Linked DNA regions of Lepisosteus oculatus. The protein of the gene in region 1 interacts with the protein of each later gene in a biochemical or structural test. Links are inferred from orthologs where the notes say so. Each region holds a gene or a part of one and is shown in the gene's direction. Other genes may lie near its edges. The genes, in order: med23, srebf1 and elf3.

Region 1 (6,991 bases):
AAATGCTTTTCAGGTTTCTATTTGAAAATGTAACATGATCAGGCTTTAAAGAGTCTTCAGTTGGTGAAGCACCTAGAGGGAACACAATACATTTTAACAAGTAAAAAACTCATTAACTGTATATGGTAAAACATATGTATATAGGATAGCATATACTTATGATAACAATGTTTAAAAGTAATCCAATACTGTTCCTAGTGCGGCAGTCTGGAGTCCTGAAACTATGGGATGCAAGGATGGATTTACAGATTTAACTCTGTATAGGATTTCCGGTTCTCGCAGATAAATAAAACCTAGTCAAGAAATTGGTCTTTAAGTATCTGAATTAAACATTTAACCTGATCCAAACAACAGAAAATAATATACTTAAAATCTTATAAATATATTATATAAAATGTTTTTAATGTTCAGTATAAGCATAACAAAATATTTTTCTGTTCAAATAATAGTTTTCACCATTGTTAATAGTTCAGTGAAAACAACAGATATGAGATACATACAGTAAATATTTACTTTACTTAATTTTGATTTAAGGATAATGGCTACTCACCAAGTTCTCTGAGAATAACAATCAGTGTTAGACAATGCAGAAACATATTTGTCTTCACACTATGCCTTGATTTACAGAATCTCTAAATGCCGCATTTTGGTGGTACTGTATATATGTAGTATTTTCGTACTGTCTAGAAGTTCCTCAATTCTTTTATTCGACCAATCGAATTCCCTCATCCTCCTCCTCTCTGTGCCAAAATGATTTGCATAATAAACCTAATAAACAAGTGAACATTTCTGCTTTCTGATTCTTTCTGTTGATATGCTTCCCTAGTAAAAGAAAAGAAATCTATATTCCTGTCATCTCACTCTTTGCTTTGAACATTTTGTAGCATGAATCAATTAAATTAAAATATATGCTTCTTAATATTTGAAAGTCATTTCAGTTTATTTCTACAGTTGTTTGAACAAATTTGTTTTGTTAGTAAAAATGGAGGGAGATTTTGTTGCAATCTGCAGTAATCCTTCAGGAAAGATAAGATGTTCATATTTAAAATACATTACACAAAAGTCAAAATACATCTGGGCAAACTTCTACAGTAAAAGAGAAGCAATGATGATGATGCTGCTGCTGCAGCTGCTGCTACTGCTGCTGATGATGATGGAAATCTTGTCCTATTTTGTCCTAAGCTAGAGAAAAAATGTTTCTTATATGACCAAAATTAAGTACTTTGTTGAGCTGAAGTAATAACTTTCAGCTGTTTTGTGTGTCATGATGCTGTGGCTTTCATGTTAAACACTTCTCATTACAAAAACAGTTATCTTCCTCTTTACAGAGAAGAATGTAGAAGTACCAGAAGAACAGAGCTTCCTCTGTATGGATGCAGGTGACAGAAAAAGGGAAGATTCACGGGATCATATATCAATAAAAGTCCCCTAGCCACAAATTCAATTATTCTCTCCATTGTTTTGAATTTCTTAAAAATTGGTCATAAATAGAACTTGAACTTGAACTTGAACTTTATTGCAATATGTAACCGGTACTGGTACAATGGAATTCTTACTTACAGAAAGTCTCTCGATTATAAAACAAGTGTAAAAAACAAAACAAAGTGCAAACAGTGCATCAAGACAATGTACAAACAAACAATAGACAATGTGCAAGTAAACATGCAGACAGTTTGAATGTAAACAATACAGACGTGTAAACAATGACTGGAGACGTACAATTAATAAATTACAACGAGGTAGATGGTGATGGTGTAGGTGTGGTCCGAGGGGGATGGCTAAATGTGTTCGCCAGTCTCACTGCTTGTGGATAGAAGCTATTGAAGAATCTAGTGGTAAGTGTCCGTATGCTCTTATATCTCTTGCCTGAGGGCAGTGGGGTGAAGAGCTCATGCCCTGGGTGGTGACTGTCCTCTGTGATGGCCAGAATTCTACCACGGCAGGGGTCCTCATAGAGCTGTTTAATCTCGGTGAGACCGCAGCCGATGATCTTCTGGGCCATATTGACCATTCTCTGCAGTGCCTTTCTTTCTCGCGAAGAGGTGTTGCCATACCACACGGTGATCCCGTTGGTGAGGACGCTCTCGATAGTGCAGCGATAGAAGTTCACCAACACATGTATTGGCATCCCCCATCGCTTGAGGCACCTCAAGAAATAAAGGCGCTGCTGAGCCTTCTTCATGATAGAGTCAGTGTTCACAGTCCAGGTTAGATCTTTAGAGATGTGAATTCCCAAAAACCTAAAGCTGGTGACTGTTTCCACTTCCGTTCCATCAATACTTAGTGGGCTGTGAGTGTGTGGCCTGTGTCTCTGAAAGTCCACTATTAGCTCTTTCGTTTTCTTTATGTTCAAGTCCAGGTTATTGCTATGACACCACCTAAGCAGCTGTACAACTTCATCCCTGTAAGTGGACTCGTCATCATCACTGATCAGTCCTATTATAGTGGTGTCATCGGCAAACTTGATGATGCGGTTATTGCTGTGTCTTGCTGTGCAGTCGTGAGTAAATAGGGAGTACAACCTTGGACTCAGACAGCAGCCTTGTGGGGTTCCAGTGCTCAGGGTGAGTGGTGTTGATGTTTTATTGCCTATCCGCACCACCTGTGGTCTCTCGATAAGAAAGTCCAGCAGCCAGTTGCAGACAGAGTTGCACAGACCTAATCCCCTGAGCTTTGTCACCAGTTGACAGGGTATGATGGAATTAAATGCTGAACTGTAGTCCACAAACAGCATTCTCACATACGAGTTCTTAGTGTCCAGGTGTTCCAAGGCTGTATGCAGAGCCAGGGAGACAGCATCATCCACTGATCTGTTGTTCTGGTAGGCGAACTGCAGGGGGTCCAGGGACTCTGTGATGGAGGAGTTGATGTGTGACAACACCAGCTTCTCCAGGCATTTCATCACCACAGATGTTAATGCTACTGGGCGGTAATCATTCAGGCATGTCACTTTTGTCTTTTTGGGGGTTGGAACAATAGTGTTTTTTTTAAAGCAGGTGGGGACCATGGACTGTGACAGGGAGGAGTTAAAGATGTCTGTAAACACTGTGGTCAGCTGGGCTGCACATGTCCTCAGGACGCGAGGTGGTATCCCATCAGGCCCTGCAGCCTTACGGATTTTCACCCGTAGAATAGATATTATGATTTCATTTGCCAAACCGCTTTATACCATACTGTGTCGCAGGAAGCTGGAGCCTACCGGGCAGGCAATGAGCGCAAGGCAGGGTACACCCTGGGCAGGACGCCAGTGGACTGCCAGTTGAGAGCTGAAGGGGGCTAATAGCTGCTGGCTTATTGGTATTGTCTTTATTAAAAATAAATAAATGATGAAATGGAAAGACAAACTAACTTTAAGATAATGTATTACTTTAAGATAATATTATATAAAAGAAAGTTGATTATTATCACAATAATAAATGTAATTCTTGAACTGTACCAATTGTTTAATCTACTATTATTTCAACCATCTGTAGTTAATATGATCATGTTATGGCCTGAAATGCCAGTCAACAATGTTTTATCCAACAGTTAAGTTATTGTTTTTTGTATCTGGGTGGCAGCAATGTAGAAGCCCCGCTGTCTAATTTTGAGATGATTAATTTCTGGAGTTTGTATGCTGGACATAGGCAGAGACTTTTTAAACTTGTGTGGCTAGAGGTCCTCTTTTTAAGACATCCCTCTTACACACAATTATGGAAAAGAAATACAACAATCACTGGAAAGTGCATTTAAAACGGAGAACAGGAGGTCTGTACACTGCGGGGTACAGGAGTGTGGAACAAGCCAGCTATGCTGTTGAAGCAAATAACCTGGCTTCCTTCAAGAAACATCAGGATAAGACAATACAATCATTCGCTGTGTGGTACATCGGTATTCTATTCTAGGAACTAATAGTAAAGCCTCGATGTGTTTGTTCGGACTATTTTGAAGGAAGCACCACTTCCTGTGTAGATATGCATTGTTGAATATTGGATCTGTAATTTTGTTAAGCAGGAAAAAAACATCGTGATGTATTTGCATGACAGGGAAACTTTTATATTTTCAGATTCGTAGGACGAATATTTTAGAGAAATGGCCATACCAATGGAAACCCAGCTCCAAAGCATTTTTGAAGACGTTGTGGTACGATTTCCTTTGTTAAATTTCACGTTCACCAAATCGAAGATTTTTAATTGTCTTTATTTGCTTTCTTAAAGTGCTTTTAATTTCTGTTTTACTTTGATTTTTCCTTATAACATCTTTTAATATTATTTTCTTAAAATTTGTTTCCGGTAGCATTGTGGTTGTATCTTTCCTGAGTGGTAATTCATGAGCTCGATACTTTCATAACAGAATTGATGCAGATCCTGCAGAGAAATGAAAGGCGATTGTTTCGTATTTGACATTAAAATTAATATTTAAACCTAAACTTAAATGCAACTCAAAGTTATTTTGTCGTACAATTCTACATTTAAACTTCTCACTTTATGACTTTTTCTTTTTAGAAAACGGAGTTCATAGAAGAAGCATTTGCTGGGTAAGCACTTTATACAGCTACTTTTATAAATCTAGCGCTTGTATTTGCAATAATTTATACTTTTGTACTATGTTATCACTATCTGTGGCTGAAAAGGTGATCAATACATTTGTCTTCTCCCAAATTGATTACTCGCTGGGGTATCTAAATCTACATTGAACAAACTGCGGTATGTCCAAAATTCGGCAGCCAGAATCCTGAACAGGTCTAGTGAAAGTGTTCAAATTACTCCTATCCTGGAGTCCTTGCACTGGCTTCCTGTCAAATTCCATGTGGACTTTAAAATCCTCATGCTCAGCTACAAGGCTCTGCATGGCTTGGCACCTCAGTACCTGTCTGAAGTATTATCGCCCTACCCCCCACCTTGCAACCTTCGCTCTTCTAATTCTGCTCTCCTTACTGTCTCCCAAGTCCATCTACACTCTATGGGTGACAGGGCCTTCTCTTGTTATGCCCCCAAGCTCTGGAACTCTCTCCCAAAGGATATCAGAGTCAACTTCTCTAAACTCCCTCAAATCCAGACTCAAAACCTTTTTCTTTAGAAGAGCTTTACTTAACTGGTTCCATTCTTCACCCCTTTGCTTTTCTTAGTACCACCATTCATGGTCTCTTCTGTGTGTTGTAATTGTGCTTTGTCTTGTGTATTCTTTTTATTTATTGTTGTTGTCATTCTGTAAAGTTCTTTGAGAAGCCACCTTTAAAGGCGCTATATAAAATAAAGTTACAAGTAATAGGTTTATTCCATGCTGAAATAAAGAAGAGAGAAAATACAACATTTCGGCCGTGGAGCCTTCTTCAGGTGTGTGAAGAAGAAGGCTCCTTCACACCTGAAGAAGGCTCCACGGCCGAAATGTTGTGTTTTCTCTCTTCTTTTTTTCAGCATGGAATAAACCTATTACTTGTTCCTTTGCAGCCTACGCATGCTGACGCAGCTACCCACCTGAACTATGAAATAAAGTTTATTATTATTATTTTCTGGAACTGTGTACCTTGGTTAATAGATTTTTATGGGAACATGAATGAATTAGAACCTCATGTAGTTGTATTAAAAGACGTGTTATGAGTGTAAATATACACAAAACCAGATAAGCATGCATTGGTTTTGTGAGTTTTATCTATATTTGAAGATAGTTTCTGCTGCATTCATTTTCCTATGAATTCAAAGTTGTTAGCTAATTATAGCTCTGTGATCATGTATAAAATAAAAACGGAAATCTTAATTAAAAGCAATTCTAGCATTGCAATGATACAAAGATTAGTTCAATAACAGGAAGAACAGTAAAAAAATAAGGCTTCTCATATGAAAGCATGATAGAGTATTTCTACCTTCATATCTCAGGAGGATCTCCCTCTTTCATTGTGGGGGAATTCAAATGGAAATGGCTGATGTGTTTTGAAGCCATAAGCTTGTAGTTCAGCACCTTTTTTTATTGTATAAATAATCAAGGGGATAGACCCCTCATAAATATGACTCCAGAAAGGGAGCATTCCAAATCACTGCAACAGAAAAAAACCTGTTGTACAACAAGCTTCGAGCATTTTGGCTTCTGTTGATATTAGGCACTGTAAAATTGTATTCCTTAAAGAATGCGTTTAAATATTGTACTTTTCATATTAAAACTATTTTTAGTTCATTTTTAGTTCAGATGGGTACAGTATCTGTGTCAACATGCGTAGGCTGCAAAGGAACAAGTAAAGGTTTATTCCATGCAGAAAAGAGAAGAAAGCACAGTGTTTCGGCTGTGGAACCTTCTTCGGGTGTAAACATTTTTAGTCTGTGAGCTCAAAATGTAAGCCAAATGTTTTGTTACAGGTTGTCATTGTTCCCAGTCCTTTTTTTTGCAATTTGCAATGCAAAGTGACTCTTCCACAGTGAAACATTGCAGCTTCAATTTCTTACAGTATGTTTATGGACAATCCAGAAGATGAGCAAACAAAGCTGGTCAGCTGTCTTGGTGCCTTTCGGCAGTACTGGAGCACTCTTCCCCAGGTGAGACATAACCTGGAGCTGAATGGCTGCCTGTCTTTCTCATACAGTATCTCTGATTATTTGCTGAACACTATTATATATAAAATGGTTTATCTTTGCGTACAATTTCATTTTTAAAGTGGGGACATGTAGTTTTACCACCAGAGGAAATAAGCAGTGTTATATAATGGCCACAATTTTAAATGAGCTAGTGTATCAGGACTGTGAAATATCTCTGCTGTAACAGCGTGTCTAGAACAAAGAAGATTTGTGTTGGATGAAGAATCGCACAGTCAGTCCCCAGTCTGATCAGTACTTCTTCCTAAATCGCTCATTATTGGTTCTCTGTGGAACACTGGGATTGCGCATGGATCCCAGTTAGGTTTTGGAAAGTACAGTTATTTTTCTGAACCTTGGATGTGCTAACATTCTTCTTACAGGATTCCCACGACCAGTGTGTACAGTGGATTGTGCGATTCATTCATGGCCAGCACAGCCCCAAGAGG
Region 2 (8,025 bases), on another chromosome or scaffold:
TTCACAGAGAAAAATAATTCTGAAGAGGAGCCAGGGCAGTTTCCTTTGTTTGACAACAGTTGTGTCAAAGCATCAGATATTTTATCTAATTGAGTTTGAAAGGGGTTTTGTTATATATTAGGGTCTAGCCTATTCCCATTAAATAGTCTTGTGGGATTTCTCGGTGTGAATTTTAAAGGGGACATTTGTATAAATGTGATTAATTATTTTTAAAAGAAAAATATTTTCCCTGTTTTGAAGCCTGTCAGTTGGCAGTGTTTCAGTAGACGTAGATGAGATTACACAACTACCATCTGTAATTCTTTCTGGACTCTTGACCTGCTATTTTTAAAGGTTTTGTGCAAAGTGGATTCATGTCAGTGGAAAGGACAAACCAGCCTGAGATGCTTTTAGATGGGAAAGCCAGGGAGATGTAAGCAGAGGCTTGGGGCGTGGTTTCTACACCAGGGTGAAGCAGAGAAATGACAGATTAACCATTCTGCAGAAGATTTAACAAAAAGTTTCAAAGGAGAGTATCTTTCTGTGCAGGACTGTGAAACCTAGGAAATGGGCAATAAGTGATAATGATGAGCTTTACCCTTCACTGCCTGAAAGCACACTTGCATCACTGCTGTGTCGACCATCCCTACTGTACTGTCTTCACTGAGTCAGAGTGCATTCTGACCTTTCACCTAGACTCAGTCCGTATGGAATATGTGGATTTACAAAGTATGGATATACCAGAGCTGGGAAATACTGATTAGATAACAGACTGATATTGTGCCGATGTACTTGGAAACCTTAAGAAATAGCATTAAAGCAGTGTGCTCTACTGTAGATGTTTATCCACAGAGTTAGATCTATTTGAGCATGAAATAAGAGACGATGCTAAAATAGATGTGCATTTCAGCTATTTATTAACGTGTGTTAATTGTAACAGAACTATTAAATTGGATAGTGGAAGATAAGCTATTGATGTACTGTATACATTTTAATATAAGAGAACACCGCAAAGCTGTCTTAGTTGGTGGTGTCACCAGTGTTTCTTGAACTGTGTCATAAATGACGTCTTTGAGGGAAAACAATTAAAAGTACTGAACAAAATGCCCTGTGTGTCCAATATCAAAACGTCCTCAGATGTAGTCCCTTACACAGTAACACATGGGTCTATCAGTGTATGAAAAGTAAAATATGTATTTTAGGAGAGGTATCTGAGTTTTGTGGTTCTAAGAGAAGAATGCTTAAATAGAGAAATTGTACATCAAGCTAAAAGCCTTAGAACTCAAAATGCGGATCAGGTGGTAAAAAAGCAATGAGATGAAAATGTCATTAAGCGATGATTTGAGGTGGGCTGTGGGTTTAGTGTAGATAATCATTACAGCTGTGCTAAACATAGCGAACAGTCTGTCTTTTTCACAGCTTTTTGGGCCATAACTCTTCAGTCATGGTATTGAAGAACAGGCGTTTTGCCATAGTGACTGTGGCTACTGTGGAGATGCAGCAGTAGTGCCACATGTAGCATGTAGGCTTGTAGCATTTGTAATAAATGAAAATCAGAAGCAGGAAAGAAATTAGTTCCTGGGCTGTTCATTCTTTTCCAACATGCTTCTTAACTTTGCAGACATGAATTTCTTGTACAGTGTATTGTAAATCCATTTTTGCTGAGATAAAAGATATAACACTATCAGAAAAGTTCCTAATTTTAACTTTTATTATAGAGAGCTCTATAAAAATCATTCTGGTTGCTTGCAGCTGAGACATTTATCTTTATATCTGTAATCACTTAGAACATTAGAAAATCTTTTAATAAGATTAATTTATTGTTTTTAATATTCTTTGCAAGTATCAGCATTAGGGAAAATGTTTTACAAGATTAAAAAGAAAGAAATGAAAGGTTCTTGTATTTGTGTTAAATGTGTATAACTCTTCATGTTTGTGTGCACTAGCTGGGTCGCACTCTTCCACAAAGTTTATTGGATCTAATTTTGTTTTGTTTTTTTTTTTATTTGAAAAAAGTAATGTACCTTAGCTTTTAACCTTGCAACAGAGTTGAGGAGCTGTGATATCTACAAGACTAAACTGACATATAGAAGTGTAACTGCTTATTTCCTTTTATTTGAGCCTAGTGGTCTGTGCTACGCAGTTTGAGCCTGGAGAGTGCGCTGATGTTCTGAGAAACTTCAAATCACTTTGGTTCTCCTTAAAATGTAATATCTGACATCTCTGGGCGTATTTTTGTCTATCAGTTTTTTAACAGAATTCATCATTTGCTGGTAAATGTTTGTGTTGCAGAGTTAACCAGTGGTGTTAAAAAGAGAAACAGCACAAGATTCCTGGGAGTTACGTACGTTTTGAGAAATTGATACACATCTTCGCAAATACAGTATGTCTTTTGACACGGAAGTTAACACATTGTGCTGATTTTGTTTAATGCACCTAATGATGTTCTGTGTAACTGAAAACAGTTCTGTGCCTGACGTCAGGGGGTAGAATCTTGGAAGTGAAAGTGGCTGGATGAAGGTCTTGACTCACCTGAAGGTGTCAGGTGCATTCTGGAAGCTGTTCTGCCTGCTTCCTGAGTTCTGCACCTGAGCTTACCCTTAGGGCAGCAGGGACCCAGAGAGAACAGTCTTGTCATGTGTGTGTAATGGCCTGTCCTTACTGCTGCTGTTACCGAAGTTTCGCGCTGTGCTGTACGAACTCTTGCATGTGTTAAACTCCAATAAAACACTACCAGTGTGATCTGTACATTCCGGTCTCTGTTGTTCTTGCTTGGAAATACTGTACCTGTGTAAGTGTAGGCTGGTGTTCCAATTACTGCATAACCTGAAGAACACATTTCCTATCACAATTCTAGGAATCTGAAACCTTAAAATAACTGTGAACCCATAAAATAGTGCCAATTAAATGTTAAATGTAAACTTTTATGTAAAACATCACAACTGACATTATATTGTACAGTAGAATTAGTACTTGAACAACCACAGCAAAATCTTTCAGCTTTAATTTGTGTTGAAATAGCTTAAATATTTATTAGGAATAAAGAACAGAAGGATTACTGAAAAACTTAGAAACTAAAAATGCAAACTGATCCTGGCCTTAATATTGCCTGACTATTGCATAGCTGCTTAGGTAGGAAGCTTTAACCCTTGTATGCTAACTTGGGTGAAGGAAGATCTTTTTTTACGTCCTTTTAAAACTTAGTTTTAATGAATCTTTGGAAAATGAGCCACTTAACCCTTGCAGAATTGCCAAATGTCCCTCTGAAAAAAACTTACATCTCAACCCAAATAAAAACGTCAGTGTGATCCCTGTAAAGCGAATTCCATTGCTGTTCCTCCTCTGATGAACTTGGTCAACACCAGTTAATAAAGCTTTGCTCCGTTAGGAAGAGGAGGACATTTCGAAAGGGTGGTCAGCATCGCTGCCCCACAGCTCTGGGCCCCCGCGTTCAATTCCAGACCCAAGGTGCTGTCTGTGTGGAGTCTGCATGTTCTCCCCGTGTTTGCATGAGTTTCCTCTAACAAACACTTTAAAACTTATTTAGAGCTGCCCTCCTTGTATTGAAAGTAAAAGTCTCCATACTCACTAAGACAAACAGCAAATATTTTTTTTTTGCAATCGATCTGTTCTGGGGAGTCCTTTCCTAGCGGGTGTTAAACCTCCTGTGCTAAAAGTTACCCCCCGGAAAAACTGGAAAACGAGCTGCGCCCGTCCAGCAAGGATTACGTGATGTAATCGCAGAGCCACAGCTGTGACGTCAGATCACCCCACACTGTGCGCCGCTTTTCATTGGTCGGGGCCGCTGGTTCTACAGGCGGGGCCGCCTCTGCGACTCCAACAAACTTGACTGCGCGCAGTCCCGCCTGCGGCCGCTCCCCATTGGCTGGCGGGGACACGCCCACAGGGGCTCGCCTGTGCGGCAGCCGCCGCTTGTGTCTCTGGGAAGCTGCTCCGCTCGCTGGCTGTGTGCTCATGGCCTGTTCAGGATGCGGCTTCGGTTAGCATGAATATCACCTGTCCACGTGGAAGTTGAGTCCATAGTTCTTAGTACACTCTGGGACCGTGCTGCCCTGCGACTGCCTGACCCGAGCAAATGAAGACTTTTATCACTGATTGTGAGCGAACAGATATTTTTTTTTGTAGTACATTTTAAAGGTACACAAACATAGCAGGGGTTTGATAAAAGGCTTAAACAATATATAATAATATCTGTAATTACATTAGTTTTATTGCTGATTAAGAATAGCTTTTGCCACAAGGCGTGCCAGATTAAAAACCCACTTCTTCCATACAAGGCAGAGACCCTATCCCACATGGCAGCCTGGTGCCGAGCTCAAGAATAGAGCCGCACTGCTGTTGGGCCCTGGGGCAGAGCTGGTTATCACACAGTCACCAAACTGAGCTGCTGATGCAGGAGACTCACTAAACCCTGACTAAACCCCCTCAGGCACTGCAGTGTGATCCAGCACACAGACCCTGCTCAGTGACTCCCACTCTGTTCCTGCAACAGGTCTCTCAGGCCGCTCCTGCCCTGAGCTCACCACAGTCATCAATGACCCACCCCCTGAGCCTCAGGGTCCCGGGCGAGCGGGAGAGGAGAGCCCAGCCATCACACTGCACTCCCAGGGGAAGGGCCGGGCAGCTGCGAGTGAGAGAGGTCAGAGGGTGTCTGTAGAAGCAGAAAAACTATGAAAAGGCAGAAAGCAGAATAAAATGAGGTACCAGATCTGTAAAGAAATATTCCCAGTTATTATGCATGAGGCTGGACCGGTGAGAAGAGATACAGCTGTTTTTCGGGGGGGCAGGTGAGAAACACACCCCCCTCTCCTGGCCAGACCGCACATGGCCGCTGTTCTGCCGCTGATTGGCCGGGAGCGCCGTCAGTCCGCGGTCGTCACGGAGCTGCGGGGCGGTGCGTCTGGGGCTTCCCAGCCAGCAGGCTAGGGTGTCGCTCCGCTCAGTGTTTGGACAAGTTTACCGTGAGCGCTCAGCATGGAGGAGCAGGAGAGCAGCGAGTAGACAGACGCATCAGTCACAAAGTTTGATTTCACTCTTTACTGCCGTCTCTGGGGGGCTCCCCCCCCCCCTCCAGACGGGACTTTTCTGTGTTTATTTTTTATGTTGTATTTTAATGGAAACTTCCACGTGATAACTCGGGATAACTGCGAATACACTTGTTAAAAAGAAACAACCGAAAATGAGCGGCCTGCCCTTTGACGACCCGTCGCTGGACCACCTGGACCCCAGCCTGTCTCTTCATGAGCCCAGTGAGATCGACACCGCGCTGCTCAGCGACATCGACGGTAAGCCCGCAGGCGTGCGGACCCGAGCCGGACCCGAGCCGGACCCCGGCTGCAGCCTCGCACGACTGTCAGTGCCGGGACTGCTGCTCGGGCACCGCGCCTGTCCTGTCGGCGCAGCTGTGGTCAGTCTGGCTGGCAGTGGGGTCCGCAGCGACATGTCCCCCTGCGCGCACAGCAGCCCAGAGACCCCCCTCTGCCTCGGGCCGTGGGGCGCTTTCGGACAGACGAGCTCAGGGCCCGCGGGGTGCCGGGCGCAGGGAGGCGGGTTATTGGGGTATCTCAGTGCGGGGGTCCAGCCCCCCAAAGCGTCCGGAGCAGGGCTGCTCTCTGCTCTCGAGCGCCCCGCCCCCCCCTGGCTGCTGCGCGTGGCGTCACGCGGGGGTTACTCTCGTGCATTCCCCCGCCCGGAGTTCACCCGCGTGTTTCTCTCACCCAGGGCCGGGGGAGACACTGAACGATTTGCACCGCTTTCATTACAAAGCCGCGGTCTCCCGGGGGGGGCTTCCTGCAGGGGCCGGTCATCGAGCCTGCAGGGGGGACCCTGTCCGCTGAACACGGCCCGGGGCACGCTCCCGCGGTGTTCAGGAGACCGCCTTTCTTAAACGATTCCTTCTCGGTCCCGCTGTCGCGTTACAGGGCGATTGTTCTTATTCTCCCCCTGGTGACGCGACCTGCGTGGGAGAAGCTGCTTCGTCGCCGTGTTTCTGTCGGGGGGTGTGCATGACCGCGAGTAACCCCGCCGCCTGAGCAGACGCACACGCTGCCCGATAGTAACCCCGGTCGTTCACCCTGCAGCCCGGGACACCGTGGGCTCAGACACGCTGGCTCTCTCGCCGTGTCCCGGGGGCAGGCCCGCATAGCCAGGCGCCCAGCCCGCGTCCCATTGGCTGCGAGCGATCACCTCATACCAAAACACGGCTCGCACCGCCCGGCCCCCCGCGGGCGTGAGGGAGGCGTGTCCGACGGGAGCTGTGCTCCTCTGTGGGCTTGACGGCCCGGCCCGTGCGGGGAGGACGTTCAGCTCCCTCTGGACACGGGGATGCGCGCAGCTCTTGAGGAGTTTGTGATTTCGCAGCTGAGCAGACAGCTTTCACACTGGCTGGCAGTATGGACTGCACTTTAGAAGGTAAATGTTAATGTTCCTGTGGCTCTCTGTCTGTTTCCAGCGCACCTGTGTGCTGCATCTCGCGGTCTCTTGCTGGAATTAGCTTGTTCTTGGGAAGCCTCTGTGTGGACAGACGTATGTCATCTTTCCTTCACACCTACAATACTGGCTGAAAGACGGTGCTGTGTCCTGGACAGCACCAGCACTTTTGCTGAGCTTGGAAACTGCAGTGAACCCAGTCGTACACGAGACTCCGTAGCTGTTGTGATCCGTTTCGTGGTTTTCCAGCTGCAGGGTCAGGTATGACCTGATAAGAGGTGTGCTGGGCCTTTCAGAGTGTAGCTCCAGCAGGGAGCTGTGCCAGCATGCGCAGGCTGCAAAGGAACAGGTAAGGGTTTATTCCAGGCTGAGAGGACAGAGCAGAAACACAACGTTTCGTCAGGCGTGTGGCTCCACAGCCAAACGTTGTGTCTCTTTTCCTTTCAGTGCGGAATAAACCTTTACCCGTTCCTTTCAGGCGGTATTTGCTGAAGTGACAAGTGGCAGCCTCCCGGTTCCTGATGACCTGCGGCACATGAAGCCGAAGTCTCTGGGCTGCTGTGTGCAGGAGGTTTCTGTCGTGAGCTCACTGGCTGTCTGCTGTTCCTGCTCATGCTAGAACACTGTTCGGGTACTCTTTGGAGCTGAATGCTGCCTGAAGCCATTCTATGTTTGTAAATAAGAGCTGCTGTTCTTGCTGAACGTGTTCGGTACTTGAATTAGCTCAGGCAGGGGTCCTGCCCTGATCCTGGGCTCTAGCAGTTGCCCTAAATCACCTGTGTCCTAAAGGTCAGCGACACTAGGAGAGCCATCGATCCAATAAGCAGAGTGCTCTGTGATGTTTGATGCAGAGGATGTTGAAATACCTGAGCGAATCACCTGCTCAGGCAGTCAGTGAAGTGAAGCTGATCTTGCCAGTGTTGGGGCAGACCTGGGTGGGACCAGGCCGGCGCCGGAGGTGCGGAGGAGCCGAGAGAGACTCCTGTCTGCAGAGCGGCACTGGGCCCCTGCTGTCCGGGCTGGTGGTGCACCACCCGTTAACCGTTCAGACTAAACTCGCAGCTAATCAGATTAGTCATTCGCGCAGTTGCCCTGTGAAAGTGGCGCCATCGCGTTCATCACGGTGACCAGACTGGCCGCAGGGCTCTGCCTTAACGAGCTCTGTTATCACCCCTGTAGCTTGTTAGTGGTGTTGTAAAGACACCCAGGGTGCACAGTCAAAAGGTTCCAGTGCCATTAAAATAGCCATCTTCAGATTGGAGAGCAAGATTAAAAAAAAAAAATTCCACAGTATGAAATTGTTCCTCTGATGTGGAGTTGAGAGGAGCTTGTCTGGAGGCAGGGGGTCCGAGGGTCTGCCAATGTTTCGCGTTCTGATCGATCAGTTTGCTCCTGCTCTGTCTGTCTCGCCCCCCGAGCCGGTGACGCTGACCGCTGACCGCTGACATCTGACCTCTGACCTCTGACCTCTCTCTTTGCAGACATGCTGCAGCTCATCAACAGCCAGGACATGGAGTTCCCCGGCCTGTTCGACCATCCCCCTTTCGGCGCGGGGGGTCCCCTGCAGGACACCCCTGTCCTCGCCCCCTCCTCCTC
Region 3 (6,977 bases), on another chromosome or scaffold:
CCCAACCAGATTCCCAGCAAGAGCCTGTTTGCTCAGAAAAGTCCATCCACCACTGTCAGGGCGTGATGAGGGGTGAGGAAGGGAAGTCCATCTTCCCCTGCTCCCTCATGCCTTGTACATGCTGTCTCTCTCACACCTGAAGAAGGCGCTACAGACAAAACACTGCCTTTCAGCCTGGAACTGACCTCAGCTCCCGGCACTGAAACTATTTCTGACACTTTCAATGTTTAAAAGCAGAGGCTGTTTGTATTATAAAAAGGGCATTTACATGTTATCTGTTTGTCTGCAGTTGCTGTCTTCACGCGGGGCACATTCTCACATTGTGGCCCCACACACAGACTTATACACACTCAGAAAACAGACCAAACTGCTCGCTGTAATATGTCAAACTTCCACAGAACACAGACCAAAGAGCACCAGTCTGCAAAACCCATTCTGGACTACTCAAGGACATTTCTCTTGAACCCTGCAGCCTGGGGTGCAGCCTGCAGAGATGGAAGAACGAGACACCCGCTCATTTACCCCGGGCTAGCTCAAGTGCAAACTCAATGCATCGCCTCAGTATGGCTGCAGGACTGCTTACAAACACCAGATAGCAGCACAAATCCGGTCAAAGATCACGACACACCTGTTACCTCATTCTTGTCTTATGAGAAAATCTAAGTGCTGTTTATTGTAAGTCTTAAGCAAACTTTCTAAGAATTTACGTCACAAAGACAGGATTATCTCTACAATGCAATCGGGCAAGTTATATTGTTCCTTAATTATAGCTGAAACCTGAGCTATAATGCCATCTAGACTGTGCCTTATTTGGAATCTTTCTAAATTTAAGTGACCACATTGTGAGACAGCTATGTCACTCACCAAAGCTTAATGTTTTAAAATGATATGATATTTAATATGATCATATCATAATTGTATTCATTTCTTGCTTTGTTATACATTTCCTTCAGGTTTAATAATTATTTTAATGCATGGGTTTTTAATTGCAGTTTTCATTGTTTCCTACACAAAACGTATTGTTTGTTATCGCTGTAATGGCTGACAGGCTGGCTAGCGATGTCACTGTGTTACCATGAGCTCACTCTGCACCTTACCAATCCTTCCCTGAGGTCCAATACCCATACCTCCGCGTTTTGAAAGCCAAGGAGGATTTGGAATGGAAGACTCACTTTCCTCCATCCCTCTATTTTCCAACCTCTTCATCTCTTTCAGGGTTCTGGGGAAACCGAAGGACTGGACGGGACGCCAGTCCATCAAAGGGCAGACAGACACAAACACGCACGTGCTCACACTCACAGCGGGGCCAAAACTAAATAGAAACTAAATAACGTACCAGCATGTCTTTGGACTGTGGGAGGAAACTAGAGCACACAGAGGAAACCCAAGTGAACACAGGGTAAAAAAAACAACATAAACACAGGGAGAACATAGAAACTCCACACAGAGAGCACCCCAGGAATTGAAGCCAAGGCTTAACCCTAACCCTCGGTACTGGCTACCAAACGTCTTACACAAACAGCCTATATTTTTGTAAAACAGGCTGTTGGACAGTGCTGCCGTGGTCATGTCCGATGTGGCGCAGCGGCGCTGTGCTGGAGACTGAGTGTGTGCGTGAGTATCAGAGGAGCTCTGCACTCGCTCCTCTCATGGACAGTCTTCCTGAGGGGCTGGTTTCATCGCTGGCAGATGTCGGACTAACTGGTGATGTCAGGGAGATTGTGATTTGGGGTGAAAAGCCCAAGACAGGTGACTACTCTATTGGGCCCATATTTAGGCTGAAGCATGGAGGAGGGTCAGGGGTCTGCGTTTTCCAACTGCAGGGCCATGGGTTTCAACCCCCAGGTGGGACCTTGCCTCTGCACCTTGAGTGAGGTCACTGACACAGGCGGGCGGCTCCAGCGAAATCCCCAGCTGTTTAAATGTAAGGCAATCTGGATACATGAATCAGACAAATTCATTCTTTATCTTGTGTGGCTGGCTGTTTGATTAATCGTGAATGCTCGCAAAAAGCAGGCTTCAACAACACTGATGATAATTCTGGTCTAAAACAAACTTCACCTTTAAAGCACAAATACATTACTCATTTGTAAACAATTGTAAAAAAGTGAAAATGTGACGATGAGACGTTTGGTCCCACACATACACACACAAGCCCCCATGTCCCTCCTAGGACCTGCACTGCCCAGATCAGCGCGCTCCTGCAGTCTCCTCATGTCGGGACAGGGGAGACGCAGTGCAAGGTGAGTACTGTAGCCTGCCGGAGCAGCCAGCTCTGCTTGTTTGTAGCCAGTGCTGCTTGTTTATTGTTCAGGCTCATTGAGTCAGTGTTGCGGAAACTGGAAAAACTTGTCTTTTTGTCTGCTGCCCCCGCAATGCACACAATGGACCCTCTTGTTCCCAGGGGGTCTTCAGGGTTGAATGCTGGTTAAACATCAGATGCATTGACTAGGAATCTGCTTACAAAACCCCTGGAGTTTCTCTGGTTACTGCGCTGTACTGACTAGACTAGCCGGTTGTGTCCCAACTTTTACTGCACCTCAGGATTCTGTGCCTTCGCCCCATCGGCCAAAGGAAATTTTTACCATTCCCTGACAGCGAACTCAGAAATACCTTTTAAATATGACTGGCTGATGTGTATTCTTCAGAACCAAGCCCCGAAGGAAACGTGCCCCAGTAGGTTGTGCTGACTGGTTCTCGTGGTGTTCTTGTTTCTCAAGCCTGGCCAAGCTTGGTGTTTGTTGTGGCTGTGATTCACTGTGTATCGCAGATCGTTCCCGTGTTTGTATCATATTAGACTAGAATAAACATTTACAAGATCTCAGCAGACTCTGTGTTGGGAATCAAACTGGAAGACACTGGTGCGTTCCAAATCACTGCAGGGGAAAAGAAACTAGGGCTAATTAATATTTGACACTGCTATTACAGCTGACATATGCTCAGCCTCAACAACATTCGCTCCGGAAATAATAAGGAATTTACGTACCAGTTAGAAAGAGCCCCTTGGCAGCACTAAAATTAAACACACACTCCCTCAGTGCTAGTCGGCAAAGTCCACCACCTTCCTGCTCTACTGATGTCCTGGGGCTGTGCTGGGCATTTCATAGTGGCACTTCGAACACAAATCTGCACTGTGAAAGAAGAGAACCAGCTGATGGAATCTGCTTCTCAGGAACGCCTCAAATGATAGAGCATCCCTTCCAGTTTTCTGTCTCGTTATTGCTTTTCTAAGGCAAATGCAAACAAATAAGAAATGTATTTCTGCTTTACAGTAGAAGTGCAGTATGTCTGAGCCCCAAATCCCCCCTGTGCTCAATGTGTTGTGCATCTTTCACACCCTGAATCAAAGTCCTTTAACGGCCCCCTTACTGGAGCGCAGTGCAGCACAGCAGCCAGGCCGGTGGACCTTGATCAACATTCTCTATTGACAGGGTGACATCATCTTGTGAAGTTTAACTGCAGGAGGCAGGAGAGGTGGTAGCGGGCTGGCGGAGGTGAGAAAGGACAGCGAAAGCAGCTGCCTCAGAAATGAAATAACTGGTGAAGGCAGCTCAGAGGGCCTTGACACGGAGAGGCCTGTCGGGATAATAATTAAGACAAAGCGCTGCTGCGGCCGGGTGGGAACCTGGCAGAGGAAATGGACCAGATCCACTTTGTTTCCAGATGCGTGTCCCCTGGCCGCACTCGGCACTGTCTCTGGCGGGAGAGGAGATCTTTACAGACTAGGGAGGGGGGGGGGGGATATCAGACCCTGAATCCTGAATCCTACCCCTGCCCTTTCTTTCCTGTGGTGTGCAGGAGGTGTGGCTGCACAGCTATTCAGGCACCTGTTCTTCATGCAAATGTCTCTTCTCTCCAGCGGAGAGCAGCCCGGTGTGGAATTCCCCGCTCACCTGGAGCTCCACCCCCCTCAGCAAGAGCTATAAAGCGAGCGAGGCTGGCAGCTCGCAGGTATTGGTGAAACAGGTGCACTCAGGGCCGTGAACACAGCAGCGATCTGGGGAGTAACAGCGCCACAGGGATCACCTGTACTGGATTATTTCTCTCGCTCTTCAACGGCTTTTTAACCTCCCTCTGTTTGATCTAGTGTCCGGCGCCTGGTCCTGTTTCAACAGGTATGGAGAAGTGTTTCTTTTCCTCTGCCATGCCAATGCCTGCTGCTTGTGCGTGTGTGTAAATGCGAGTCAGCTCATGCTCCGGTACAGCAGCTGTGTGTCCGCTTTTGCGCAAAAAGCAGAACTGAGCTTTCTCGTGATCCTAGAGGGATTCAAACTGCTAGGATATTGGATTCAGAAAGGAAATCTGGCAAAAATAAAGTTTCAGGCTGCTTATTGTAAATTACTCCAGATAACATATTAAAAAAATAAGATTTTACCTTGAGGAGAGATGAATCAAGCCAGCAGTTTTGCCTTGCCTATAAAATTAAACAACATTGAGTAAGCTCTACAAAGCACCATTATAGTAAGTAAAATTACGCAGGCAAAGGTATTAAAAATCGCAGCTCTTTTATGTAAAATTTACAACGTAGGATAGACACATATTGCGGAATTATCGCGTATTAACTCTTTATAACTAGTTATATATTGTTGTAGTCTGCAAACGTTTTTTTTCCCCAAAAATCAGATAATAATCTCACAGTACATGTGAAATGTAAATGTGATCTGATAATAGTCATGAAATACATGACACATGTAATCCTCGTGAATTCCGAGAATGAGAATGTAAATTAGCGCTGTCCGTGTCGCTGCGCCAGAAAGAACCTTGTAAACAATCTAAAATAATTACGCGACGGGTTTATGAAGTTCGAAGTCAGTAGCTATGGGAGACGATGCAGTGTCTGCCTGGGCGATTCCTTTAGCTGCTAAATGCACCGTGTCATCAGCGATTCCGGGACATCTCAGTCCCATTGCAGTGTCTGGATGCGTTTCTCGAAATAAAAGATTAATTCACCGTATTCCCGTTCCGTCCGCTCTGTAGTGCCAACATCAATTGATTAAAAACAATTAATCAAAGGGCACGAGCATAATTTTCAGACGATTTACAGATGTATAATCGGTGTATTTTTAAGCAGAAACTTTAAGCCTGTCAAGGAGCCCCGTCAAGGAAAAAACAAACTTGAGGCTGAATTTGATAGCGAATTTTAATATCTGGAGTAATAAATTAATAGCGGTTGTAAAGTGGTATTAACAGTACTTCAGCTGCCTAGTGTGTGGTTATTGTAAATGCTTTGGTGTGGAGACGGTGACTGTATGAAGTATGAATTCTTGTAATAACTGATTTTCTTACTGGCTGCACTGCAGAAGGAAGAACTGATGTCGGCGACTTGCGAGCTCAGCAGCATCCTCACCAAAGCCAACCACGCCATGTATCAGATCTCGGACCCCGGGCAGCCCGCGGGCAGCCTGTCCCTCGGCGACAGCAAGGACTCCCTGCAGCTGCTGACCAGCGCGCAGCTGCCCGCAGAGCTCCTGGGTAAGACAGGGTGAAGACACCAAACACGGCTACGCCAACAGAGACTGAACAACAGGCTTATCACAGTGGCGCCTGGCGATAAAATCAAAGAGCGGGAGAGAAAAAAAACACTGTTTTCTTAACTACATTTAGCACCCCAAACATTATTTGCAGACGTGATTAGCGCGCAGGTAGCGTGACCACCGTGATTGCTCACAGCGACTGTTAGCTTGAGTAACTAGGTTAATGGCTCCCGATAAGCGCGTGCCAGTTAATTGCCTTTCATCGAAACCATAAAGCGCAGCTATTAACGCGCCTGAGTCTCCACGGGGGGACGAGGGCGGGATTTATTAGCAGGAGAAGACACCTGGAATCGAGCCCGGAAAGCCGAGTGCAGAGCCGTTAGGGATGGCGCGCACAAGGCTGGTGACACAGCATTCCTGTTCAAAGTGTCGCCCAGAGCCATCATAAGCTCGACGAATCTTCCCGATTAATTAATCCCCCCCAATAATTGTTGACCTGAATTTAAAGCCCACACGCATGGATTTCGGAGCTCTGGAAATGTTCATTTCCTAACTCGTTTTTAAATTTCATACAAGGTATAGTTCTCTCAGTGATGTATGATGAGTTTTTTACTTTGTGTTCTGTCAATGTCACAGCATCTCACTACTAAGTAGTTTGTGTCCAGCAATAGTCTGTACTGCTGTTTTGTTAAAGACAGTTTGAAAGCACAAGGAAATAACAGCACTCCGTGTTTCCAGTGTTTTAAATCGCTGCGGAGCTCGGGGGAAGGTGTCTGGTCACGACCTGCTCGGACAGGGAGTCTGAGGCCTGTCTGCGCTTGGTTTTCAGGCCCCTGCAAGTGGTACAACACTGACCCGCAGTTCTGGAGCAAGCAGAACGTGCTGGAGTGGATCAGCTACCATGTGGAGGAGACCAAGTTCGACGCCAGCACCCTGAACATGGCCTACTGCACCCTGGAGGGGTCCGTGCTGTGCCAGATGTCCCGGGACACGATGCTTTCCATGTTTGGGCCACTGGGGGACCGACTGTACCACAGCCTGCAGGACCTGAAGGCGAAAAACAGTAAGTGTCCTCAGGGATCAGAGAGAGCTCAGAGACCTTTCAAGTCCACATGAACAGCACAGTGCAAACTGGGCAACTCTCCACAGGGAGCCCGGCTCCAGGGAAATAAACCCTTTTTATAAAAAAAACAGACTAATTTTACTCAAAACGTCTTTTCTTTCGGGTTTGAAACAATCACCTCAACAAGACAGCCTGCCTCACACACCTGCAACACAAAGTGCTTGAGTGGAGCGTGTCTGATTTAGTGCTCCTGCTCCAGCAGAGGCTCTGTAGTAAGAGGGACCGTCTCTGACCACTGCCTCTCTGCTGTTTCAGGTGTTGATGACATCACCAATGACATTCTGAACACCCTCTTCACTGACCTCCCGGAAATCTTTGCCGAAGACACCTACAACCTCCTGCCTACAGTTGTTGTGGCTCCAGGACCCGGTACGAGAGGA

Evidence for each region.
Region 2: the proteins of med23 (region 1) and srebf1 form a complex in vitro, tested with the Homo sapiens proteins (2 studies listed by BioGRID). The link is inferred for Lepisosteus oculatus from reciprocal best matches to the Homo sapiens genes MED23 and SREBF1.
Region 3: the proteins of med23 (region 1) and elf3 form a complex in vitro, tested with the Homo sapiens proteins (4 studies listed by BioGRID, with this or other methods). The link is inferred for Lepisosteus oculatus from reciprocal best matches to the Homo sapiens genes MED23 and ELF3.

The regions. Positions count from the first base shown.
Region 1 is NC_090697.1:2,620,316-2,627,306, forward strand, and holds the start of med23 (mediator of RNA polymerase II transcription subunit 23), read left to right. Parts: upstream 1-3,928; 5' UTR 3,929-4,071; coding exon 4,072-4,122; intron 4,123-4,484; coding exon 4,485-4,516; intron 4,517-6,418; coding exon 6,419-6,506; intron 6,507-6,925; coding exon 6,926-6,991. Other genes in the region: interleukin-20 receptor subunit alpha-like, read right to left, coding at 1-72, 551-596. UniProt on the Homo sapiens protein: Required for transcriptional activation subsequent to the assembly of the pre-initiation complex. Component of the Mediator complex, a coactivator involved in the regulated transcription of nearly all RNA polymerase II-dependent genes.
Region 2 is NC_090714.1:17,558,150-17,566,174, reverse strand, and holds the start of srebf1 (sterol regulatory element-binding protein 1), read left to right. Parts: upstream 1-4,926; 5' UTR 4,927-5,179; coding exon 5,180-5,285; intron 5,286-6,262; exon of another isoform or gene 6,263-6,392; coding exon of another isoform or gene 6,393-6,411; intron 6,412-7,910; coding exon 7,911-8,025.
Region 3 is NC_090700.1:40,360,979-40,367,955, forward strand, and holds the start of elf3 (ETS-related transcription factor Elf-3), read left to right. Parts: upstream 1-3,943; 5' UTR 3,944-4,115; intron 4,116-4,375; exon of another isoform or gene 4,376-4,415; intron 4,416-5,300; 5' UTR 5,301-5,312; coding exon 5,313-5,472; intron 5,473-6,303; coding exon 6,304-6,537; intron 6,538-6,852; coding exon 6,853-6,966; intron 6,967-6,977. UniProt on the Homo sapiens protein: Transcriptional activator that binds and transactivates ETS sequences containing the consensus nucleotide core sequence GGA[AT]. Acts synergistically with POU2F3 to transactivate the SPRR2A promoter and with RUNX1 to transactivate the ANGPT1 promoter.